3 linked regions of the Arabidopsis thaliana genome follow. The protein of the gene in region 2 binds, or shares a complex with, the protein of the main gene of each other region. Each region holds a gene or a part of one and is shown on either strand. Other genes may lie near its edges.

Region 1 (8,261 bases), on a different chromosome or scaffold from region 2:
TGGATTCTTGAACATAGGGTGAACTCTGAATTCACTGGACCTCCCCAGTACCAGATCAGCACTATGTTCTGGTTTGCCTTCTCCATCATGGTTTTTGCACCCAGTATGTTCGCTTTCCCTCTAGTACTCTCTGTAGGCAACGAGTCTGTTTCCATAAGTTTACTCTCAAAAGTTATGTTTTTACAGGAGAAAGAGTAATGAGCTTTACAGCAAGGGTTGTGGTTATCACTTGGTACTTCATTGTTCTTGTGCTGACTCAGAGTTATACTGCCAGTTTGTCATCGCTTCTCACAACACAACAGCTCAATCCAACTGAAACGAGCATCAAGAACGTGCTTGCAAAAGGAGGACCTGTGGCATATCAGAGAGATTCATTCGTACTGGGGAAACTGAGAGAATCGGGCTTCCCTGAGTCCAGACTCGTGCCATTTACCTCTCCAGAGAAATGTGAAGAACTTCTGAACAAGGGACCATCAAAGGGTGGTGTTTCTGCAGCCTTCATGGAAGTACCATACGTGAGAGTTTTTCTTGGACAATATTGCAAGAAATATAAAATGGTGGAGGTGCCATTTGATGTTGACGGGTTTGGCTTTGTAAGTTCCATCACTTCTCTTTGGCTTGCATACAATCCTTCCTTTTAATGATGCATATAACTAGTTTCGATTCTGTAGGTCTTCCCAATTGGATCGCCTCTAGTAGCCGATGTATCAAGGGCCATTTTGAAAGTGGCAGAGTCTAACAAAGCAACTCAACTTGAAACTGCGTGGTTCAAGAACATAGACAAAACTTGTCCTGATCCAATGAACAACCCTGACCCAAACCCAACAGTCTCCTTCCGAAAGCTCAGCCTCGATAGTTTCTTGCTTCTATTTGTTGCTGCAGCCACTGTCTGTACCCTTGCCTTGTTGAAGTTTGTGATCTGTTTCTTGATTCAGAATCGGATTATTTTGAATGACGAATTCTACCGTGGCAAACGAATGAAGGAGATGTGGTTAAAGTTCATGGAAAGTGATGGTGAATCATACATTAGCCGTGTGAGATCAACATGTCCTCAGGTGTTAATACAACCCAGGGAAGAGGACATTGATCCCATTAACGGCTAAAAATCTTTGAACTTTTTTCTTTATCTTCTTCATGTAGCCAAAGTTACCTTTGTATCATCACAGCTCACTGATTCTAGTGCAATCCTTTAAACACACACTTACTAACTCCTAACCTTTTCCAAGTTACAACGAGACTTGACCATATGTGCATCTTTTCCCGGCGAGCCAAAACCGACTTTGAAGATTGTCGTCAATAGTATCAAATTAATGGAACTCAGAAGTCTTAAAATCCACCAACTTTGCATGCTTCTTCAACCATTTTGTATTAGTATAGAAACTCTTTCTCCTGTAAAACCAAGATATTTTAGCTAAGTCATGCGAGAAGAAATTGGACAGAGACTTTACATATTACAGACAAAAAGTCGGCATATAGAATCATTCCAGACAACGTTTATGGTCCTGTATACATATAAGGAGAATGTGCTCAGAAACCACAAGTACCTATGTCATATAAAAAACTTGAAACTTACCTTAACTTTTCAGCCTCAAAACATTTAAAACAAAACCGACTCTGAAAGAAAGACAGAAACAGAGAGAGACAGAGAGAGTGTGTACGAGGTGACACTCGAAACCGGGAAGTAGTGGCTGGAAGAAATGCGGATTGGTCGGAGACTGAAGTGGAGGATTCACCATTTCAAACAATTCAGGAGGAAAAAAACTCAAGAATCTTCAACTTTCTTTGTGATGAAAAAACCAATGTGTTCTTGTCTTCAATGTAGCGTTGTAAAAGCTGACGAAAGGTTACTAGATTTTTCAGATTGTTGTCTTCTTTCATGTATTTCTAGGTAAAGAATATTCGGACATGAGAAAGTGAAAAAACAAAACAGAACAGCTTTTTTCAATTGCTAAATTCCAAAAAGTAACTTTATTATTGAGATGCCGCGGTTACAAAGGGGGATTGTCTAAAGGTATACAACAGAGTGTGGCAATGTTTCAAGTTAGATCAGAAGCACTTAGGTTCATCATTGCTAGATGGAAAATATACTTTGTGGTTTTTCAATCCTACAGTATCCAGTTAATCACAAGGATGGATACTTATCTTATTTTCACGACTTGGAGACTTGCAAGAATGGTGGATAAGTGATGTAGAACCCCAAAAATCACCAGAGAACAAACAACAAACGAATATACATGTAATGTAGTAATTGAGGACTAGCAAGACAAGTGAGTTTTGTTTTTAACTGAAACACAACAGAGAATCAGGGATCTGAGACACATGACCGTCCTTACTAGGCAAAGATTTTGAGGAATTCCTGGTTTCTATTCGTCCCTTGTTGCAGGGTCCATTCCAGTCGAAGGGCTATCAGCAAAATATTCTGGATGCTTCACGTTCACACCATACTGCCAAACCGAGTTTACTCACGAGTTAGCTTCCCACTACTAGTTAAGACGAGACTGTAAAACCTTACCTATCTACCTACACTACTGCAATACACAATATTATAACCACTAACTCTAAAACATGTTTCTAAGCATTTTATGTTGATTCTGTGATACTGAATTAGTTTCATGCCATGTGTATTTAGAGTAATTTGCAGCTTAAGTAAAAAAAAACAAGAGACATCTACATTTTCTTCTCATACATTGGAGGTCTGAGGGACAACAATACCAGAAGCATGAACTTAGAGGAAGAAGCATTTACCTCACGCAAAGCTTTTGAAAGATCTTCCATTGTCAATACCAAACGCTTATCCTGTTAAGGAAACATTAATATTCATGTCATCATCCAAAACATATTTGTTGCAGTCTTGCAGAGGGAAAAAAAACAAAAGGGAGTCAGATGTTACCTTTTGCTGTTTTTTGTCTTTCACAACTGGTGCTGGTCTAGCCTTGCAATGCCTGTATATAATTGACAATTTTTATTATTCAGGAGCTTATATCAATGCTTTTAGCTTCTGGGAAAATCTAGCGTAGACATCTTTTCATCTCATCTACTCAGAATGGGCAGTGTCTTCTCTTTCTCAATTACAAGTCAAATATGAAAAAGGGTATGATAATTCGTTGTGAAGAGAATGAAAACTTACTGAAGGGCGTCACTGGCAACATCTGCAACAAACTTTTGTGTAGCCACAGCAACTAGCCTTATCCTGTCAAACAAGTAAACAAAAAAACAGAATATTGGCAAGAATAGATACAGGAAAAGATTATGACAGGAGTGAAAAACTCAAAAACTAAAATATACCAATATTCAGCACTCAATTTGATAGAAAGAGAAGAATCCCCTCATTATTCTACGCATTCAAACTGAACTCTGAAGTTTACATTCAAATTGCCAATCTTTTTCAGTGCTAGTCCAACATAGACTTCTTTATCATACCATTTTACAGGAATGTTAAACAGGGCAAAACCTTAATCCAAAATGATTTAAACCAAGCCATTGATCTAACTACTGGTCACCCATTCTAAGACCCAACAATGATTCCATTCAATATCAACTTATCTGCTCTTTCATTGTAAGTATCAGATATAACTTGTCGGAAATACCTACAATCGTACGTCGGGGCACTGAAATCCACTCTTAGCCAAGTAGTGCTCCACTAAATCATCAGGAATCTGAAAGAAAAATAAAAATCCAGAACTCAATCAATACCCAAATTTCAGTCATGTAGAGCCGAGAAAAAGTTGTAACTAGTACAAAGGAAAGTATACAGTAGGAGTATAATCCATCAGAGAAGCAAGGAACTCTGTAAGAGCAGCATCATCTTCATGCTTTGCCTCACCAGATTGTTGGCCGTGATTCATCTCTCCCACCACCAGAGTACTGAAGCGAAGCAACAACTGTAAGTAAAGAAAGGTTTTCAAAATCAAACATTAATAAAGAACCTCTGAACTAGTATCTACCTCAAATTAGAAACTTGTACGAAACCTAAGAAAGAATGTCATGACTCATGACACAATTATACCAAAATAAGTTTTACGAGAATTTTGACTACTGAAACTTTCCAGCTCAATTTACTAATTCTCTGTTCCAGATTTGTCTTCTCGTATGACATTATTGTTTCTAAGTAACGAACTATTCCTGATTTGTGTTGCAAAAGACCACACCAAGTTTTGAATTGAACGACGTGAAGTAAACTAAGAGGGCTCTGATTCATCAAGAAACAGCATTCATGAGCAAAATTCGATACCACCCAAGAGAAAATTCAACCGAAAAAAAGACAAAATTGAGCTGAAATTGAAACCAGAGACATAGAGGAAAAATTCAATAAAGTAAGCGATAATGCGAACCTAAACGAAGCAGCAACGGAAGAGAATTGAGCTGAGACGAGGCAAATCAATGGTAAAGAAGAGAAGTTTCGACGGATTTCGGGCGGGTAGAAGAAAGGATCGGAGATCGACTAGTGAGTCTCCGTTGAAACCCTAATCCTCCGACTGGTCCAACTCAGAGCCATCTCCGCCGGTCAGATTTTTAAGAGTTGAGAAAGAATCGTTAGATAGACTAATGGGCCTATTGATTTAAACTATGGCCCAAACTTAAGGAAGTATTCTTCACATATGGCCCAAATTTAGGTTTTTTTTTTTCCTTTTTCACAATCCATTTTTTATTCTCTTCCCATAAAATCAATATTTGAGTTTAGTGTATCTAAGAATATCGAAACGAAATTGTCAATCAATAAAATCTCAAAAATGTAACTTTAGTGTATAGTGTTGTACAATCTGCTGTATAGTGAGCTTTAATTTGATGGGAGACAAAGAATATGACAATGAAAGCACTAACTCCATCTAGACGGAATATTTAATGACCAACAAAAGCAGTTTTTGTTTTTCTCATTTGTCAACTCATAGTCATTAGAAAAAGACTTAAGGGTAGTTTTATATATTCTACGAGAAGCAGGTGGTAAATTCAGTGAAGAAGGATTGGACTAATTCTCTCCATAAAAACATAAAAGAGAGATATGTATATGATGATACTTTATTTCACGGGATTCCATTTGTTTGTTTGTTTTTGGTTAATGGTGGATTCCATTTGTAGGTAAATTAATGGATAAATACCAGATAAATAAATCCATATTTTCTCAAATATGCTTCTTAGACGCTACGTATTATGTATTTACATTTAAATCATTTTCCAAAAGCTTTTTTTTTTTTGTATAAAACCAAAATAAGAGACAGTTTATTCAAGAAGCTAGTTTACCTAGTTATATCAAAGGGGCCAATCAGAATCTAATGTAAACTATATCCAAGTCTCATTGTCATGGAAAAAGGTTTGATTTAATTTGACGATTTTTAAAAAACGGTTGTTCAATCGCGGCATAGGAATATTTTTGGCTATAGGCTAGGACAAGCTATATGGATTGATTTGAACTTTCTCTTTAATTCTTTTCATCAAATTATGGAATATTATATTAAAACCTAGATATTTTAAAGAAAAAGAAAAATTGTATGCAAAAATTTAATTTACTTTTGGAATACGGATTCTAAATTTTTTTGTTGTTTAAAATAGTAAAGAAAAATAAAATATATCAATGAAATCAGGAAGAGGCAAAACATGGTGGCCAATCAAATCGGTTTACTTCAGGCGATCGACGAGCATTTCTAACGAAGCAATGTTCATGTGATCTCAATGGAATATCGACTGTTGTCAATGTGATCGTAACCATACTTTTAAGTTCTGCACTGTATTCTAATTTCTACACAACTATGTTATCTCAATTTTTAACTACTTCCTTCATTATTTACCTCCAGCAAGTGAAAATTAAAAGACCGATAGACAAACAAAAATACATAATCTAGTAAAACAAGTACTAAAAATCTAACATGGTAGAAGAGAAATTGTGTATGTAGGTTCTTTGCAAATAAATCGTGTGTATACTGTATAGACTGATAGACTATTCCTTGTTTGGGGAAAAATGGCTATACACTTATAATATTTTAGAAGTGTCACAAAATAGAAAACTATTTTAAAAAGTAACTTTCTTGGATCGAAAAAATAATAATATGATATATGGTAGGGAAATTTTTACTAATTTTATTAAATTTAATAGGAAGTATCATAAGCACCCATATAGATATGCATAAGTTTGAAACAGAAAATTTGTAGGTACGGTTAGTCGGCTATAAGAGTGGCTTCAATTTGCTTGATGGATTTTTTGTTTTGATAAAATGGTTTGTAGATGGACTTTATTAATTTCAAACATACATTACACTAGTTAAGATAACACCACTTAATCAAGTAATATTTGTATAATTGTAGTTAACTGAAAGTCGTGACTCATGTGTTGTTGTAGGGTTGATTACTACTTTGGCTTTAGATTTCCTCTTTTTTAATCGTACTTTAGAAAATTTGTGGTGCATAATTAAGAAAATTTGTAGTGCATAGTTCCTTATCTAGAAGAAGAGAAGTTTGTACGTCACCAAACACCCCCCAAAAACTCAAGTTGCGAATATGTTCGTTTGCTTAATTAAATATATGTTTTCTCCCATCCAATTTAATATCATATTTTTGTCGCTAATCTTCAATTAACTAGATTACTTATGATAAAGTTGGAATATAAACAGCAATACATGTAATAATTATTTATGTGGATGTAATCTACACGAGCTTTCGTTGGTGATTGGTCGCCTCTTGCCAACAATTTCTGTTATAGTTGAAATGTATTTAACCATTAAAAAACATGAATGAAAGTTACTAGTAAGAAAGAACTGGCCGTTCAAGTACAAAAGTGGAATCCGATTATCCACCGAAATTGCAATTAAATATTGGAGATTTGTTTTAGGAAAAAGATTGGCATGCTATATTTATAATTAAAATTTTGATATGCGTAGAATAAAGTTTGTGGAGTATTTCATATCCAAGTGGCCTTGCCTCATACGAAACTTGCCCTTTAGTAAAGCAAACAACGAGCGTAATGGATATTGCTTAAATAATACCAAAGTTACATGTTTCAAAAAATCGTATTAGTTTTCTAAATGCCCTTTAATTAGCCATCACTAAATGTACTTTGAAGTAATGAACTCGTAAGTTTGATATGAGAAATCATAGGTTCATGGTCTGTAACCTCGATCACCACGGTACGGTCTAACATCTATCGATTAATTTCCAACTAACAAGTTCATCTTTCTCTTGCCCACACTTCACTTACACGATTTTCACTAGTACTAAGAATACATATTCAATAGGATATTTGATGTTTAGGTAGCGTCTAACAATTTTTGAACTTAATTTGTTTAAGCCATTCAGATTTTTGAACGTTTCCATTTATATGTATGAGAGGAGTAGGGACGAATAGTACAAAACGACGAGCGGTGATTGTCCGTGCAGAAAGAAAACGTACCCTCTACTGCTAAAAGGTGCGAAGTGGAAGCTGACGAAACGTGGGACACAATCACACAACAAAACTATACAAATATTATTTTCTCATGTTAATAGTGATTAGTGGAATGATTGCCAATGGACAATGCGGCCTTCTTATCCCTTGTTGTTTTTTATTGTTTTCTTTTTCTTGTAAAAAACTTTGATACTGTTTTAGAATTAAAAAAGAGGTAAAAACTTTTTTTCTTCTAAACGATGCACGAGTTCTTTAATGATGAAGATTGTGAAACTTGCTATACTCATATGAGATGGGACCTGTATTTTTTTTATTTATATATAAAACTATTATTCTCTCACTGACAAGAAATTCCCAATTTTGATTTTGATTTATGTTTTTAAATAACAATATCTTTTTAAAAATATCTCTCTATCTTGCTTTTTTAAAAACACAATTTTTCTGATTGCCTAAAAATAATTACCATAAAAATCAAACATGTCCCGGTCTTGTGGATCCAGTCCCATGATACTCATTTTCTTGCTTTGTTTTATGATTCTATTTTGTTTTCGACCGAAGTTTATGAATTAAAACATGACAAAAATTTATTTGACAAGTAAACGTTACATATTTTTCAAAACTATTACGCCAATGTTCCAAAGCTTCCACGCCGAAATTCTTGAGCAAATAGACAAAACATCAACGATTTTTCTATAGTATCTGTTATTTGAACAAATTGAATTTTTTAAAATGCTAGATTCCTAATTTTCTCTACAAACAAAGCATCAAAGATGAAAGCATAAAAGAAATCAACGTACATTCTTAAGAAGAGGAATCAAATTGTGGCTAAACAGTGGGAAAGTATAATCAAGAATTCAAGATGTGAGATAAAAATAAAATAACAAAAAGC
Region 2 (9,201 bases):
AATAACTCAACCCGAAGAAGAAAAAGGCGAATGTGGAATTTACGAACCTGAGATACCGAGGTCATAACCAAAGAGGAGACCTCCCATAGCGGCCACAATACATGTCATGATGACAAAGACGGTGACTCCGCCTTCATAGCTGTTTCCTCCACCACCACCTTCTGATACAAAGGCTCCTCCAGCCATTATTATTTATTCTTCACTTATTGATTGTTAGTATTATTGCCTTTTGCTTTGTTATTCAAACAAGAACTAGTGAGCTTATGATCCAAAACTGAAGAGCTTGTGAGCTCCTTAAATATAAGAATTTTCGTTATCTATTATTAGGAATCGATTGTGATATTAGCTGTTTTAGATTTATCTTAGCTTATGAATAGGTGAAGTGGTTTTGGTATTTTTTTCATGTTCTTCAAACCCAGTTTTAGTGGAGATCTTACTGTCTTTTTTTGACAGTTTCTTTTGTTTTTTTACTGACAACTTCCGCTCATTTCTCTGTAATTTTTATTACATAAAGACTCTAAGAGATATGTTGAAAAAGACAGTCTAACCCTAAAATAGGATCTTGTATTAATATAATAACAGTCGCATTTAGCTGTGAACTAATTGTGATTTCGTTCAGTACGTATATATAATATAGTCTATTTGGAGACATTTCATTTCTAGTTTAGTTTGGTTCATATATTTAGGATTGATTATTAGATACACGTCATTGTAGATCGTTGTTCCAGCTAATTTGAGAGAGAACGTTACAAAGATAATTGAAAATGAAGAAAAAAACAAAGTAAATATATCTACGTAGACAAAAATGTTCATTGTCATTATGAACACACCGTACGTTCTCTAATAGAATAGGTTTTAAGATATTTCTCATCTTTGTAACTCTGTAATATATATATGCAAATTGAAAAAGAAACAACAACAACAACAACGTTCCCATTTTTGAATCATGTCATTATGTCAATCTCGGTGTAATTAACAATGAGCTGGACGAAGAACACATAGCAAAACCTCCGAGAATGAAGATTGGATCAGTTCAACATCCTAAGCCTTGGTCATCAAATATATATCAGGCTCATGGACGACAGAAGTCCGAGTTTGTAACATGAGAAAAGATATTACAAATTAAGTTTATCACTACGTACGTACTTGATAAGTCTAAATGAAAAGTGATGGAACAAGAAATCTTTAGAATAAACATGTCAAGTGATCATGACATGATGCAACAGCCATGAACAATTATCAGCCACCCTTTCATTACGTAATTAACCATCACATTAAATCTCATGAAGACTTTCTTTATCTCGGCTGTCTCCTGATTAACCGAACCACGACTTCTTCTTCTCAAGAGCTCAAGTGGCTTTTTTGCTTATATTCACAAAATGAATTGATGGCTATTAAGCAAGAGTGAATGAGGATCAAACAGTGCACATTCAAACTTTGGGTCCAAAATCTTTAACGACCATATTCATCATTTAGCTAATTTTGTCTATAAATTGATTATAGCATTTAAAATCAAAATTTCTTTTATTTCCAAGACAAACAGTCATACATATATATGCCAGTTAGCTGTTGTTTTCACCTTTGAATCTTAGAATTTATTTTTTCACCAACGTTGGACATGCTCTTTATAAGAGTTTGGAGGGCTTTTAGTTATGGGGCAACTAAACCTTGCACGGAATTTTCCTTAATTAGTTCATGTTTAAATGTATCATAGTTAACTATGTCATGGTTAATCCACAAAAAAAAAAACATATTGTGTATGTCCAACTACTCATCCATCCTTTTAGGTTCATCCTTGAGAACCTTGCCATATATCTACTTCTTTTTGGGAAGTACGCTCGGTAGTGGAATGGATAGTTGCTTTTTTTTTTTTTTTAAATGGATAGTTGCTTCATCCTCAACTTTAGCCACAAAATCTAAAACTTGGATGGCAGTTTAATATTTTTGATCTGTTAAATCTCGGAGGCGCCAAACTTTTCGTTTGGGTGAAGAGATCCTTTGATAACTCCCAATACACATAATGATCTGATACCAAATTTGTTTTTATTAGTGTCATCTTATATAACATTTTTTATTTATGATAAGATGTGAATATATTACCAAAACGTAGTAAGAATTTTATTTTAATGAGATTTACTAATATAAAGTTTTTTTTGGGTTTTATTTAAATGGGTTAGGAGTGCAATTGAATCATTTTTTCAACTATTTCAACTTAAATAGTAAAAAATTGATTGAATGTTTATTCAACTCTTTTAATTTCTTCAATTACGTCAACCATTTGCACTGGTTTGTCAATTACAGCAATAAGATTTTTCTCTGAAAACTCATTACAAGAAAACTTGTTCTATTCTTTAGTGAGTTTTTAATCTACTAATTATATATATGAAAGTTAGCCAACTCTCTCCATATGATTGACACATCATCACTTTAACATTTGCCATGTATCCACTGAATAATTAATGTAAGCTCTTCAACTTTTAATTTATAGATTAATGATGTATTTATTATTTAATTTTACATATTTAATTGTACTAATACTAAATTTATTTTGTTATTAAATGTTTTTCAATAAAATAATTTGATTGATTTTCTCATACTCAAAAGATTTTTTTCTGTAATCTTAACTCAAATTATGAGTGTATAGTAGTCATGGATTAATTAATAGTTTGAATAGTTTGCATATTGTTATATATCTATATAATAAATCGCCGAGGGTGAAGAGTATGTAAGAAGTTTAATCATCAAATTCTTAGGTTTCGAGAATCCCAATATTACCTTCTATTTAATTAGTTTAAGACGAACATTGTTTAGGAATTGTGTGTATAATGCATTGTTGAGAATGTTGTTAGAAAAAATATATTTTAATATTAAGAATAATTACTTATTATATAAGTAAATGATTAGATAATTAAAAATTATATTTAAATTAAACGATACAAAAAATTTAAAAATACCGCAGCGTAGCGCGGGTGATTACCTAGTCATAGTAAAATTAGTAGTGACAGATTTTAAAAAATGACAAGCTTATGCTAGTAACTTTACAAAATAGATAGCATTATATAAATATTTTACTGTAGTATGAGTCAATACTTTTTTAATTATTAATTTAGTCAATATATGTTAGATGCAAATGTATTTTTTTTTATTGACCAATACTTTGGTAGTATAATATTAGTAGTATTAGATATTATTGGCTATAAATAGATTCAACATTGAAACACAAATCATATATATGAAAGAAGACTAACTCTCTCCCACAACTTGACACATAAGCACATGAGAGCTTGCCACCTAGACTTCATAAAATAAGTAATACATAATTAGTAATTAATTCAACATAACAACTAAAATAGGAGAATATAATTAATGAGAACTTGAACCATCACTCTTTCTACATTTTTAATTCAATATATCCTCTTTAATTTTGAGATCCACTTAAGTGGCTAAAGTGATGATAAAATCCAAACATGTTACACATATTCCTGGCCTAAAAATTAGACGATTATTATGAAAGAAACTAAATGAATATGCAGATTAAATATATCTAAGCTTTTCGATATTTATGCTAAGAAAACAGGTAATTTGAAAGATATTTGAGGAGCTATCCTTATAACTAATACGTAAGATATAAGATTATGACAAGAACTTAACTAAACTTTCTAAGAATATCGAGTTGAATATGCTTAGATTGAATATGCAAAGACATGATTAATAAAGACATGTTATATTTTTAGTGTAAGAAATAATTTTTCTAAAATTTCACTGTCTCACAATCTATACATATAACTAAAAAAGCAAGGATATATAAATTCAAAAAAAAACTAAGAATCTAAAACAACAATAAAAAACAACTCAAGCACATTCGTTTTTCAGATGAACTAATATAGTTGGACTTTTCAAAAACAATTACAAAACATATTTATGTTTCAAAACCTATGCATTCAACTTTACTTTATATAAACAGACATTATATAAAACAATTAGTAAATAGTAATACGTAAACCCGCACGTAGTGCGGGTACTCATCTAATTTGTAAATTAATAATTCCTCAATTTGCACCCAAAAAAAGAATTCCTTAACCACGAAAAAAATAAAAAAACAAAATTACAATTTAAGGGGGAAAGTTATATGAAATTGCAAATATAACCACCAAACAAACAATCGACTATCGAGGTTACCCTTAAGAAAATCTTTATTCGCAAGATCTCTCTCTCTCTCTCTCACTCGACGCACTTTAGAAAGAAACCCTAGTCCGACGACCTCTCCTTCGCCGCTGAATCCTCATCGCTGGTCAGATTTCTATCTATCTCGCTCTTCTATGTTTCCCTATCTCGTTGGTCAGATTTCGAATCTTCTTTTTGTTCTCATGGTTTTTGAGCTCAAAACTTTGGGGTTTCAATGTCTCGATGTTATTTCTTAGCGAGGTTTCAATGTTGGCTAAGTGAAGTTTTGGTATTGTCATTTACAGATTCTTGGCGGCTTTCTTTTTGATGAAATTGGATTACGATGGCTGGATATCCTACTAATGGATCAGTCTACGTTTCAAATCTCCCCTTAGGAACTGACGAGAATATGTTGGCTGACTATTTTGGGACCATTGGGTTGCTTAAGGTATGGTATTGGCCAGGTACTAATTGTTGCTTTTGTTTTGACGTCATTGCAATCTTTTATAGGTCACTAGATTTTCGAGTTTCTTACATTTTTTTCTACATTGCTTTTAGAGAGACAAACGAACTGGTACTCCTAAGGTATGGCTGTACCGGGATAAAGAAACTGATGAGCCCAAGGGAGATGCTACTGTTACCTATGAGGATCCGCATGCTGCTTTGGCTGCTGTTGAATGGTTCAATAACAAAGATTTTCATGGAAACACCATTGGAGTTTTTATGGCCGAGTCGAAGAATAAAAATGCTGGTGATGCAGTTGAGTTTGTTGAATTCGATGGAGGTGCTGAGGAAACAAATGGAGGTGCTGGAAGGGGGAGGGGTCAGGCTGATTCTTCGGCAAAGCCATGGCAGCAAGATGGTGACTGGATGTGCCCTAATACAAGGTCTGTGATGTGATATCGGTGAGGAGCTTCATCTAGCTCTTGTTTCCGTTAATTTGCTAGTTTTTATATATTTTATAGTTTCTAGCAGTAGTGTTCTCATACTCTTTCATTGGCAGTTGTACAAATGTGAATTTTGCATTCCGTGGGGTTTGTAACCGCTGTGGAACTGCTAGACCAGCTGGTGCATCTGGTGGCAGCATGGGTGCTGGTCGTGGAAGGGGTCGAGGTGGAGGCGCTGATGGTGGGGCCCCGGGGAAGCAGCCCAGTGGTGCTCCTACTGGTCTCTTTGGTCCAAATGATTGGGCTTGTCCAATGTAAGCATTCCGATTAGGTTTGAAATAGTTAGTTCAGTTTCAGAGGATAATGAGCGTTTGGTACTTGATTAAAACACATCGCAAGAAACAATTTATATTCAGTAGCAAAAGAGAACATTCAGATGGCATATAGCGTTGCTGGATATAAAATTAATTTGTCTTATGTATGGAAGGAATATAGCTTGTATATCAATGCTTTTGATGATGTCAGTTGACTCTTTACTTAGAAAGAAGTGATGGCCCGCTCTGCTGTGCTGTGTCTCTTAAACTGGTCCAAATTATGTGTGGAGGCACATATTTTTTCCTTCTTTTTTGAATGTTGATTCTAATTTCGTAATTTTCCTTCAGATGGCTGTTAATCTGAAAAATGTAATTTGAAACGTGGGTAGGTTGTAGTCTTGATCCTTCTAAGAAGTTATATTTGTGAAGATAGGCTGCCTTCAATTTTCTGTGTCTGATACAAAAAATGGACTATGTTTTAGTTTAATTGCAAGTTATGCTATGTGTCATCGAGTAGCTTAACTAAGAGGCTGCACTGTGTGAATGTGAGTTCTTATGCATAATGCACTTTTTCTTTTTGCGCTAATTCTTTCAGGTGTGGCAATGTCAACTGGGCGAAACGTCTAAAATGTAATATCTGCAACACCAATAAACCTGGTCAGAATGAAGGTGGTGTGAGGTATGACTCAAAGCCAGTGATAAGATTGCCTTTGTATTGTTATCTTGCAATGTTCGAGCTGAGGATTTGGATTATAAATGATTTTACAGTGAATGTAGGAGAGGTCGTAGATTTTCTGTTCGATGTTTGTAGTTTTGTTGTCAGCAGGGTATATTTATTCTGCTTTTAGACAGGGCCTAATAGATACCTGGGAAAAAGTCTCAATACTCTCTTCTGCAATTTGAACGAGTGCTTGTTTTCTTCGACAATTGATTTATCCCACTTGTAATGTTTTATTTTGGCCAAATTAGAGTTGCATTAAGAAACATTAAGGTTTGAGTTTGGAAGGTTGTTTTTATCTAGACCAGTGCTTATTCATTTTTTTTTCTCTAAATAGGGGAGGCCGTGGTGGTGGTTACAAGGAATTAGATGAACAAGAATTAGAGGAAACGAAGAGACGCAGGCGTGAGGCTGAAGAAGTAAGATATGCTTTTCCTGAAGAGTTCTTTGTTTTTTGTTTTTTTGTTGCAATTCGGATGAGCTCTCAGTTTTTTGTATATTCCATTTGACTTATACGTCTAATATATTTCAGGATGATGGTGAAATGTATGATGAGTTTGGGAATCTAAAGAAGAAGTACCGTGTTAAAACAAACCAAGCTGACACCAGACCTGCTGTTGCTGCTGGTCGTGCTGGGTGGGAAGTCGAGGAACTAGGTAAGTTCTGTTTAATTTTAACTAATATGAACTAAATCTATGCAATCATCAAATAGGTTGAGCTTATGAACAGAACCTTTCCACTATAATAGAGATTTATTTGGCTCGATCTATATCTACTCTCTGTGTATAGTCTTCAAAGAAAGTTTCTGCTTGTCATCTAGACACTTGAGTGAAACTTAACATATATGCGGGGAGGGATTTGTTTGAAATTTTACATTAAGCTTGCAGCTAACTTGCCTATAGCCCAAGCCTAGTGGGGATCTCCAATAAACAGTGTTGTTCCTTGTTAGAGTTTTCTTCTTTTCACTGAATAGATATAGAGGAAGATAGAAAAGAATGTTTATTGCTGCTTCCCCAAAAATAGAAAGGTCATGATCCAATGTAGTTGTTCATAATTTATATGAATGTGGCAGGTATTGATAAAGATGGAAGAGAGAGAAGCAGAGACAGGCAAAGAGACCGTGGTAGAGATCATCACTACGATAAGGATAGACGCAGAAGCAGAAGCCGAGAGAGGGAAAGAGGCAAGGAGCGTGACTATGACTATGACCATGATCGGGACAGAGACAGAGACTACGGTCGCGAACGTGGAAGCAGGTACCGTAACTGAGAGATTACTCATAAGTGTTAGGGTTTAGTTTCTCATCTGTTTTGTCGACTTACTTTTACAACGGTATCATTACAATGTCTTCGCCTTTTGTTTACTTATTGTGTGAAGTGAAACTCATTTTGGTTTGAATCAATGGCTATTGTTTTTCACTTGTTTTGGTCTGATTATGTTCTGAGAATACTCCATGTTTATCGTTTCGAAAATTGGTAATTATGGCAAAACATGGTTAGCGACGTCAATTGCTAATTTAGACGTGTATTAAGTATTATTTTGTCTTTTGTAGTATTATTTTTAGTTGTCCCTTTGTTTTTTTTTCCATCGCCAATCATTTCATCGCTGTATGATTTTAATGGGAATAAAAAAAATAGAACAAGAAGATTTTTGTGGACAATATAGTTTCTGAAACTATAATAGGATAAGAAAAAATTAAGCTTATTTGTGGGGATATATATTAATGTCATATCATTGTCATAAACATGGTCGGCAAAACTTGGGACGGCAGTTTACCAGAATAATCCGGTCGACAGAATTCAACAGTTCCTCTCTCTAAAAGATATGAAGGAGATTAATTTTGGCTTTGTTAGCAAAGATGGCCGGTCCTCTTCTGGCAAATCCGGCTTTTACAAGCGGTTTTGGCCGGCTTTTATCCTTCCTCCGCCGTTCGATCGGTTGTTCTTACCGATTGCTTTAGTTTCTTTTTCAGTTTTTCTTTCAATAATTTCTAAAGATTTCAATTGGAGATTAATTTTAGGTCATAATAGCCTAAGATTAAGTTTTCGGATTTGTATCTTTAGAAAGTTTGATTTGCAGAATTACCTCAAGTATGAAAGGAAGTTTTGTTTCCAGCATATTGGGATTGCCTGTAGCCGTTTCTACATGTTTATGGAGCTTCGATCGATCAAATTTGAGGAATACTCAGATTTTTCTTTCCTCATTACCTGTTTTTGCCAAATCTCTTGATTGATGATTTTGGAATTGAATTCTCTGTTTGTGTATCCTCCCTTCTCTGTTTAGCAGTTTCCGGTGAGAAAAAAACAAAAATCGATGTTTGCCCTTTTTCGACGTTGATTGTGTTCACCGGATCGGAGTCTTTGACGGCACAGGATGACAGGAACGTTTCATCGCTTCTCTTGCAACACGTGTCTTGTTATACGATCGTGTTTTGTTAAAGAGATATCCTTCCTTTAAAGAAATGTAACTAAGTGGACCTTTGTTGGGCTGTATTCTGTGGATCATTAATAAACATAATCTTTCCAGTGAAAAAAAAAAAAAAAAACATGGTCGGATATGGGAAATACGATGAAAAAAGCTCGTCATGGACTCGCACTTAAAACAGGAAAATCTTTTTCGTCTAGACCCCACTTATTCACATGCACTACGACATAATTCCAAATTCTTTTAAAAAAAAAGAAGAAGTTAATAGAAAGAGTGACCAAAGTACAGTATATGATGATATTTATAACATACAGTTAAACTTCTATAAATTAATAGTCGATAAATTAATAACCTTTATAAATTAATAAATTTTTCCAATCCCGAATTTGTACCAGTGTAAAAAGTGACACAAATCGATAAATTAATAAGATAATAACTTTTTTGAAAGTTCTATGTAAATATATGGTCCCATCAATATCATAAATTAATAATTGTATAAATATATCAATTATATATATACATTATATGTAGGAATTTTTCTGAAATATAATTCTAATATTTTTTTGCTTAAATTTGTATTTATTTTTATTTAAAATTTAGTTCTCGTATTTTACTGTATCAAAAACTTTTGGTGTTGTTTTCTAAACATGATATTATTGTTTAGTTGTAATTGATTCTTGAAAGATATTTTCTA
Region 3 (6,545 bases), about 12 Mb from region 2:
TATGGATTTGATATTTTGAATAAGATCATTTGCTTCTTGGTATTGGTGTTGTATGTCGAATCACTGAGTGTGAAAGTGAGCTTTCTGCTTCGCACCAATTCAAATCCAACTTCGATTCTGTATACAACAAGTATGGCTTATTGCAGAAACGTTTCGTATTTAACCGGTTTCTTCTTTAAACCGCTAAATTTCGGTCCGGTTCAGTGGAATGATTTTGCTTTTGGGTTTAAACGACGCCGTCTCCAAGCCTCCTCTTATTTTTGGATTAGGGCACAATTGACGGAGGAACACAGCGGTTTCTCTTCTCAAATCTCTCACAAAAATTTCATCAAAGGTTTCGACTTTTTTTGATTTGGTAGAAGAAGATGCCACCTTCGGAGGATGTGAAAGCTATGAAGATGAAAGAGGAGGCTGAGGAAGACAATAAGAGCTTGAGTTCCTTTGCGAAGAAGAAACCCACGAACGGTAACAATGCTGGTTCGAAGAAATTGAAGAAAGAAGAGAACGATGACGATGATGATGATAACAAACCTATCAAGTCATCTGTATCTGGGTCTCGAGCTAAGCCAGTGAAGAAGAAGGAAGAGATTGATAAAGACGATGAGAAGAAGCCTGTTTCTAAGAGGAATTCTTCTGTTGGTGTCTCAAAGGTTCGATTTTTATTTCTTTCTCTCTCTGTTTGAGTATAAATATTGAGGATGGTAAAATATTTGATGAGGCATTGTTTTGATTATGAGTCTCTCTCTTTGTTTATAGGAGAATAAGAAACCAGAGAAAGAAGAAGAAGTAAAGAAAAAGAGAGAAAGAAAAGTATATGATTTGCCTGGTCAGAAGAGAGAGCAGCCTGATGAGGTATTTTTTTGCTGCTCTGTTTCTCTGCTTTTTAGATTTGTTGTTGAATTCGTCTGAAGAATTTCTTTTGTTGATTTTGCAATTCTGCAGAGAGATCCACTTAGGATTTTCTACGAGTCACTTTACAAACAAATTCCCACTAGCGACATGGCTCAGATTTGGTAAGCTCTTCTATTCCTTTCTCTGCCTTACATTGTTCTGCAACTTTAAAACACTTACACTTAATGTTTTGTGTTTGGTATGTATCTGATTATTTGTGTTTGATCACTCAATCTGCAAACTGAGTCCTACACCTTAAATTATTCTTTTGGGACTTGATGCATACTTGCGTTTGATTTTCGATGGTCTCTTGTGTTTTGCGACACGGTTTAAGCTAGTTCGCATAAATTTTGAACATCATAATTGGACTCACATTGTATGTAAGAAAGGGGAGTCCTTTCAAACCAGTCACTCAAAGCATTGATTATATGATCTGTGATGGTTATGTGTAATATTTGCTTTTAGATTGCTTTGTTTATTTGAAAACCCTTTTGTGGTTTTGATCACAGGTTGATGGAGTCTGGATTGCTTCCAGCCGAAAAAGCAAAGAAAGTTCTTGAGAAGAAACTGCAAAAGGGTGGAAAATTAAGTTCTCCAGTAAAATCTGCTGCTTCTACTCCAAGAAGCAACTCCAAATCAGTGACCGTGAAGAAGAAGGAAGTACAAAAGTCGCCATCTGAAGCTTTGTCAAACAAAAAGAAGGGAAATGATTCGAAACCAACCACGAAGAAGAGGAAGAAGAACTCTGATGATGACGACTCAGATGATGATTTTTTGGCTAGCAGAGTCTCTAAAAAGGCTAGAGCCAAGTAGGTTGAATTAAAAGACTGAAATCTCATTGTGTTATTTGTAATCGTTTCTTAGGGAGTCAATTTGTAGAATGCTTGAAAGGTGAATTCTTTAAGAGTAATGAGAGAGATGGCCAATTGTTTCTGATCTTATCGTGTACTTCTTTAGTTATTAAGCAAAGACTTAATCACGTTTGGTTTAGAGCATGATAGTTACTCTTCGTCCATGTCACTACTTTGTAACCTCGTCATTCTGACTAGCGAAAAAGCCGTTGAACTGATCTTTGAGGCACTTTTCCTTGGAGCTTTAGTCTTCGATATGACTCTCTGATATGGCAAGGTCTAATAGGTCCTGATTCCTTCCTTTCCCTCATAACAACTCGAGCTGTTTCCACAAGGTCGCCAACAAACATCTTTGCGATACCACGCACAACGATGTTCATAGTGTCGTCCATCTTCGGACCCCCTGTGATTCTCTGTACCAACTTCTCCATGTCTGATTTCTTAAAACCAGATCTTCTGAAAGATTCATATCTGCTCATTTGTTCCTCTGTAAATTGTGATAAAATCTTCTGCATCTTGTTGGCTCTAGTCACAGGATCAGCACCAGTTATGTTTTTGGTGAACTCAACTTCATCTTTGTTCTTCGCTTCAGCAACAACGGACGTTTTACATTTCTTCACAGCTCTCTCATCTCCTTCAAGAGTCTGCTCGGTTTCAACAGGTGATTCCTCTTGCTCCTCCATTGCTGCTTCAAACGGATCCTTCGAATGCTTCATTCTTAATAAAACCTTAACGAAAATCACATATCTTTGGATCTTAAAACTCCAAAATTCAGCCAATTTTTTTGTTGCACATCCGACCACACTAGAAAAAATCCGACATGAACATGAACTCAAAGAAATCAATTTTTTGTACTTGTAATTACAAGTACCTTGGCACTGGCTGATCTTTCAGACAATTGCAGTTACAAGTAACCCGCTCGTTGCTACTAGCAAAACAACAAGACCTTGCGTTAAAGGCCATTTATTGTCAAGCCTATTTTTTAAGAAGCCCAAATGTAAAAGTCGGTGGGAAATGAAGTATCTTTATTTATAGAGGCAAAAGTTTAGCTTCCTTTATACTAATTTACTCGATGTGGGACAATTGAGAGAAGTGTAAAATTTATATACTACACAGTAGCTTGAGAAGCAAGGACGTATTATCTCAAATGGAAAATACAAGACACCCAAAATAAATGGAAACTTCAAACTTTCTTTGAACAAATTACTCAAACAAAAAACACATTTAAACAAATTTCCCATTTTTTCAATGTTTTTCAATCAAATTTAAATAGAGAGATTTCCAAGAGTCGTTTCCTTGTCTTTTAAGTAAAATGTTTGATTTGGTGGATCAAGTCTCATAATCTCCCTCCTCTTCTTCTTCAACATCATACTCACCTTCCTCATCAGCAGTAGCATCTTGGTACTGTTGGTATTCAGCGACCAAATCATTCATATTGCTCTCAGCTTCCGTAAACTCCATTTCGTCCATTCCTTCTCCTGTGTACCAATGCAGAAACGCTTTACGCCTAAACATAGCCGTGAACTGCTCACTCACTCTCCTGAACATTTCTTGAATCGACGTCGAGTTACCCACAAACGTCGCCGCCATTTTGAGCCCCTTTGGTGGGATATCACAAACGCTGGATTTCACGTTGTTTGGGATCCACTCAACGAAGTAAGACGAGTTCTTGTTCTGTATGTTTAGGATTTGCTCGTCGACTTCTTTTGTGCTCATCTGTCCTCTGAAAATAGCAGAGGCTGTGAGGTAACGTCCGTGACGTGGATCAGCTGCACACATCATGTTTTTGGAGTCCCACATTTGTTGAGTCAGCTCAGGAACGGTGAGTGAGATGTATTGTTGCGAGCCACGGGAAGTGAGGGGCGCAAAACCCACCATGAAGAAATGGAGACGAGGGAATGGGATTAGGTTCACCGCGAGTTTCCTGAGGTCAGAGTTTAGTTGTCCGGGGAACCTTAAGGAGCAAGTCACACCGCTCATTGTTGCGGAGATCAAATGGTTCAAGTCTCCAACTACATCATCATGCAATGTATCAGAATTAGTTTTAAATACATTTTGGGTTAATGGAGGATAAGAATTGGGTGTACTTACAGCTAGGAGTGCTGAGTTTGAGGGTACGGAAGCAGATATCGTAGAGAGCTTCATTGTCGAGGACCATGCATTCATCAGCGTTCTCTACAAGCTGATGGACAGAGAGAGTTGCATTGTAAGGCTCAACGACTGTGTCAGAGACTTTAGGAGATGGGAAAACAGAGAAAGTGAGCATCATTCTGTCTGGATACTCCTCTCGGATCTTCGATATCAATAGTGTTCCCATTCCTGAACCTGTGCCTCCTCCCAACGAATGGCACACCTGAAACCCTGTAAAATAATGCAGCCCCATGATTCACATAGTATTGGTTCCATCGATGAGACGAAAAAGTGTTCATATATAGTCAAGCAAACATCTTGTTACTAGTCCTTGCTAACTAAATCAACTATAATGTTTATGTGAATCTACAATGCTTTAAAACAATAATCAATGAATCTACAATATGCGTTAAAAAATATTTCTCCCCAATAATAACAATGCACACTAGTAGTCATAGACTCATAGTTATAATTGAAGTTAAATAATCAATGTATAAAACGAATCACGTGAGACCTGACCAAAAGTAACTAAAAAAACGAATCACGTGAGATTGTTGTTTGGGCTCCACAAGCATTATCTATAAACTCTAAAGGCAAAAGAGATTTTTATTAACTTTTTACTACAAAATTCCAAGAAATCTATATGATGTAGTAGGACCACTCCATCTTTTATCCCGTAATCACGGTGCCTTGAAAATGTTTTGATCACGACATCACAATGATATAATATCTTATCTCTGAAGCTTTAATATGAAGAAAAAAACTTGACAAAAAAATATCTCAATACTATACAAAACAGCTTGGCCCTACCAATAATAAGTGCTAACATCCCACTCCACAGAAAACAGCACTTGCATTTCAATTATTTCGTTGCTGTCTTGCAATTACATTAAATAAGACGATTTGATTGATCGTATTACTGAATAAGAACCCACATGCACTGATGCACACCAATAATAGATAAACAAGATCATCAAAGTAAAAAAAAAAAGAATAAAAAAAACATACTATAGTACACTTACTAAACCGTGACCTAATTTTACTAATTATGTAGATAGATATCATACTATATTACAAGAAGAGATCTATGGTGATAAACGATTATCGATACGGTGACGTCAGACAAATTACGAATGAAATGATTATTGAATCAAACTAAATCCAGTAAATATACGAATTATGATGCACGACATCAAACACTATAGAAAATTTGCGTATAATGGAAAATTCAGAAAAAGATATATATAGTACCTTGAAGGCAATCGCAGTTCTCAGCTTCTTTACGAACAACATCAAGAACAGCATCAATAAGTTCAGCACCTTCAGTGTAATGACCTTTAGCCCAATTATTACCAGCACCAGACTGACCAAAGACAAAGTTATCAGGACGGAAGATCTGACCAAACGGTCCGGATCTGATACTATCCATAGTACCAGGCTCAAGATCCATAAGAACAGCACGAGGAACGTATCTTCCACCTGAAGCTTCATTGTAATAGACATTGATACGTTCAAGCTGGAGATCTGCAGTGTCTCCACTGTAACGTCCGGTGGAATCGATGCCGTGCTCGTCGCAGATGACTTCCCAGAACTTGGAACCAATCTGGTTACCGCATTGACCACCTTGAATGTGAAGGATCTCTCTCATTGTGTTAGTGTGTGTAGTGGTTCACAAGATCGAGAGAGAGAGAGATGGTGAAGGAATATGAAAGATGGGAGTGACAGCTAATATAACCAATTGTCTCTGTTATTCATCACTTCCCTCGCTTGCGAGGTTTTTATTCTCTGTTTTTTTTCACCCCACCTAACACTTTTTTATCTTAGTCATTTTACATTGTCTTATTCACTCAAAATTTACCGCCGAAAGGTTTTTAGATTGGCATAATTTCAGATTTCAGATTCAGTGTTTAATTAGCAACTTGGAGCATGCATGTGCATATATTGCCAATGTATGTTGTTGACATGTTGTATACACATGAATATGTCTATACAAAAACAAGCTTTATAATATATTTTTTCCCAGTTGTAGAGTAGAGATATGGGAGCACGTTATGCAAAATTGTATTATTGAAAAAATTGTATTTTTTTCATTAATGTAGTTAAATTGTTTTCATATAATAAATTGTGTGTTAAAAATAAGGAAGAAGAAAGTAATCTATACAAAAATTTATAACTTTCAATTTCAGAACTAGATCTAGTAAAGTCATACATGGGCCAGACATGTAGATAAATAGACGAGCCCATTTAAAAATAAACGGTGTCGTATGCTTTAATTGTCAAACTAAACCCTAGATTTGCTCCATCATCCTATATAAAAAGGCAAACTAGTCTTCAGTACCCATAATCGCCGGCTATATTCGTCTCTTTTTTCTTCGTGTTTTTGTAGCTTTCATCTTTGATATTGTTTTACTTTGCTAAAGTAATCGATTTTTTGATGTGAAGAAGTTAAATTCAAGTGATGAGATTTGATCTAAAATTCTCACGACGGTCGTCTGAGGCCTTTTGTGGCCGATTGATGTACCGATCACTCCTCTCTGATGATAAACTTTCTTCTTTCCCAAATCTCCTTTGTTTTTGTTTTAATCCAAACTCTTGTTGATTTGTAGTTAATCTAGTTCGTTTTTCATATTGAGAAAAGAGATTTATGGAATTGGTTGTGTTATACTACTTTAT

Evidence for each region.
Region 1: TAF15 (region 2) and TAFII15 share a complex: the UniProt entries of both Arabidopsis thaliana proteins name them as parts of the TFIID complex.
Region 3: TAF15 (region 2) and TAF11b share a complex: the UniProt entries of both Arabidopsis thaliana proteins name them as parts of the TFIID complex.

Annotation. Positions count from the first base shown.
Region 1 is NC_003075.7:15,351,860-15,360,120, forward strand, and holds TAFII15 (TBP-associated factor II 15), read right to left. Parts: upstream 4,573-8,261; 5' UTR 4,332-4,572; intron 4,312-4,331; exon of another isoform or gene 3,945-4,311; intron 3,882-3,944; exon of another isoform or gene 3,865-3,881; 5' UTR 3,846-3,864; coding exon 3,753-3,845; intron 3,657-3,752; coding exon 3,592-3,656; intron 3,191-3,591; coding exon 3,128-3,190; intron 2,943-3,127; coding exon 2,891-2,942; intron 2,797-2,890; coding exon 2,746-2,796; intron 2,445-2,745; coding exon 2,364-2,444; 3' UTR 2,188-2,363; coding exon of another isoform or gene 2,112-2,187; 3' UTR 2,061-2,111; coding exon of another isoform or gene 1,980-2,060; 3' UTR 1,937-1,979; downstream 1-1,936. Other genes in the region: GLR2.4 (glutamate receptor 2.4), read left to right, coding at 1-103, 187-593, 672-1,103; AT4G31715 (uncharacterized protein), read left to right, coding at 1,800-1,843, 1,980-2,060, 2,112-2,187. UniProt on the Arabidopsis thaliana protein: TAFs are components of the transcription factor IID (TFIID) complex that is essential for mediating regulation of RNA polymerase transcription.
Region 2 is NC_003070.9:18,626,969-18,636,169, reverse strand, and holds TAF15 (TBP-associated factor 15), read left to right. Parts: upstream 1-4,130; 5' UTR 4,131-4,291; intron 4,292-4,469; 5' UTR 4,470-4,507; coding exon 4,508-4,612; exon of another isoform or gene 4,613-4,628; intron 4,629-4,722; coding exon 4,723-5,051; intron 5,052-5,167; coding exon 5,168-5,365; intron 5,366-5,960; coding exon 5,961-6,044; intron 6,045-6,420; coding exon 6,421-6,502; intron 6,503-6,615; coding exon 6,616-6,739; intron 6,740-7,155; coding exon 7,156-7,352; 3' UTR 7,353-7,615; downstream 7,616-9,201. Other genes in the region: STP9 (sugar transporter 9), read right to left, coding at 48-186; AT1G50290 (uncharacterized protein), read left to right, coding at 7,908-8,312. UniProt on the Arabidopsis thaliana protein: TAFs are components of the transcription factor IID (TFIID) complex that is essential for mediating regulation of RNA polymerase transcription.
Region 3 is NC_003070.9:6,934,962-6,941,506, forward strand, and holds TAF11b (TBP-associated factor 11B), read right to left. Parts: upstream 2,706-6,545; coding exon 2,614-2,705; intron 2,460-2,613; coding exon 1,937-2,459; downstream 1-1,936. Other genes in the region: AT1G19990 (nucleolin), read left to right, coding at 366-650, 757-852, 943-1,013, 1,401-1,704; TUB5 (tubulin beta-5 chain), read right to left, coding at 3,072-3,754, 3,834-4,103, 5,124-5,520. UniProt on the Arabidopsis thaliana protein: TAFs are components of the transcription factor IID (TFIID) complex that is essential for mediating regulation of RNA polymerase transcription.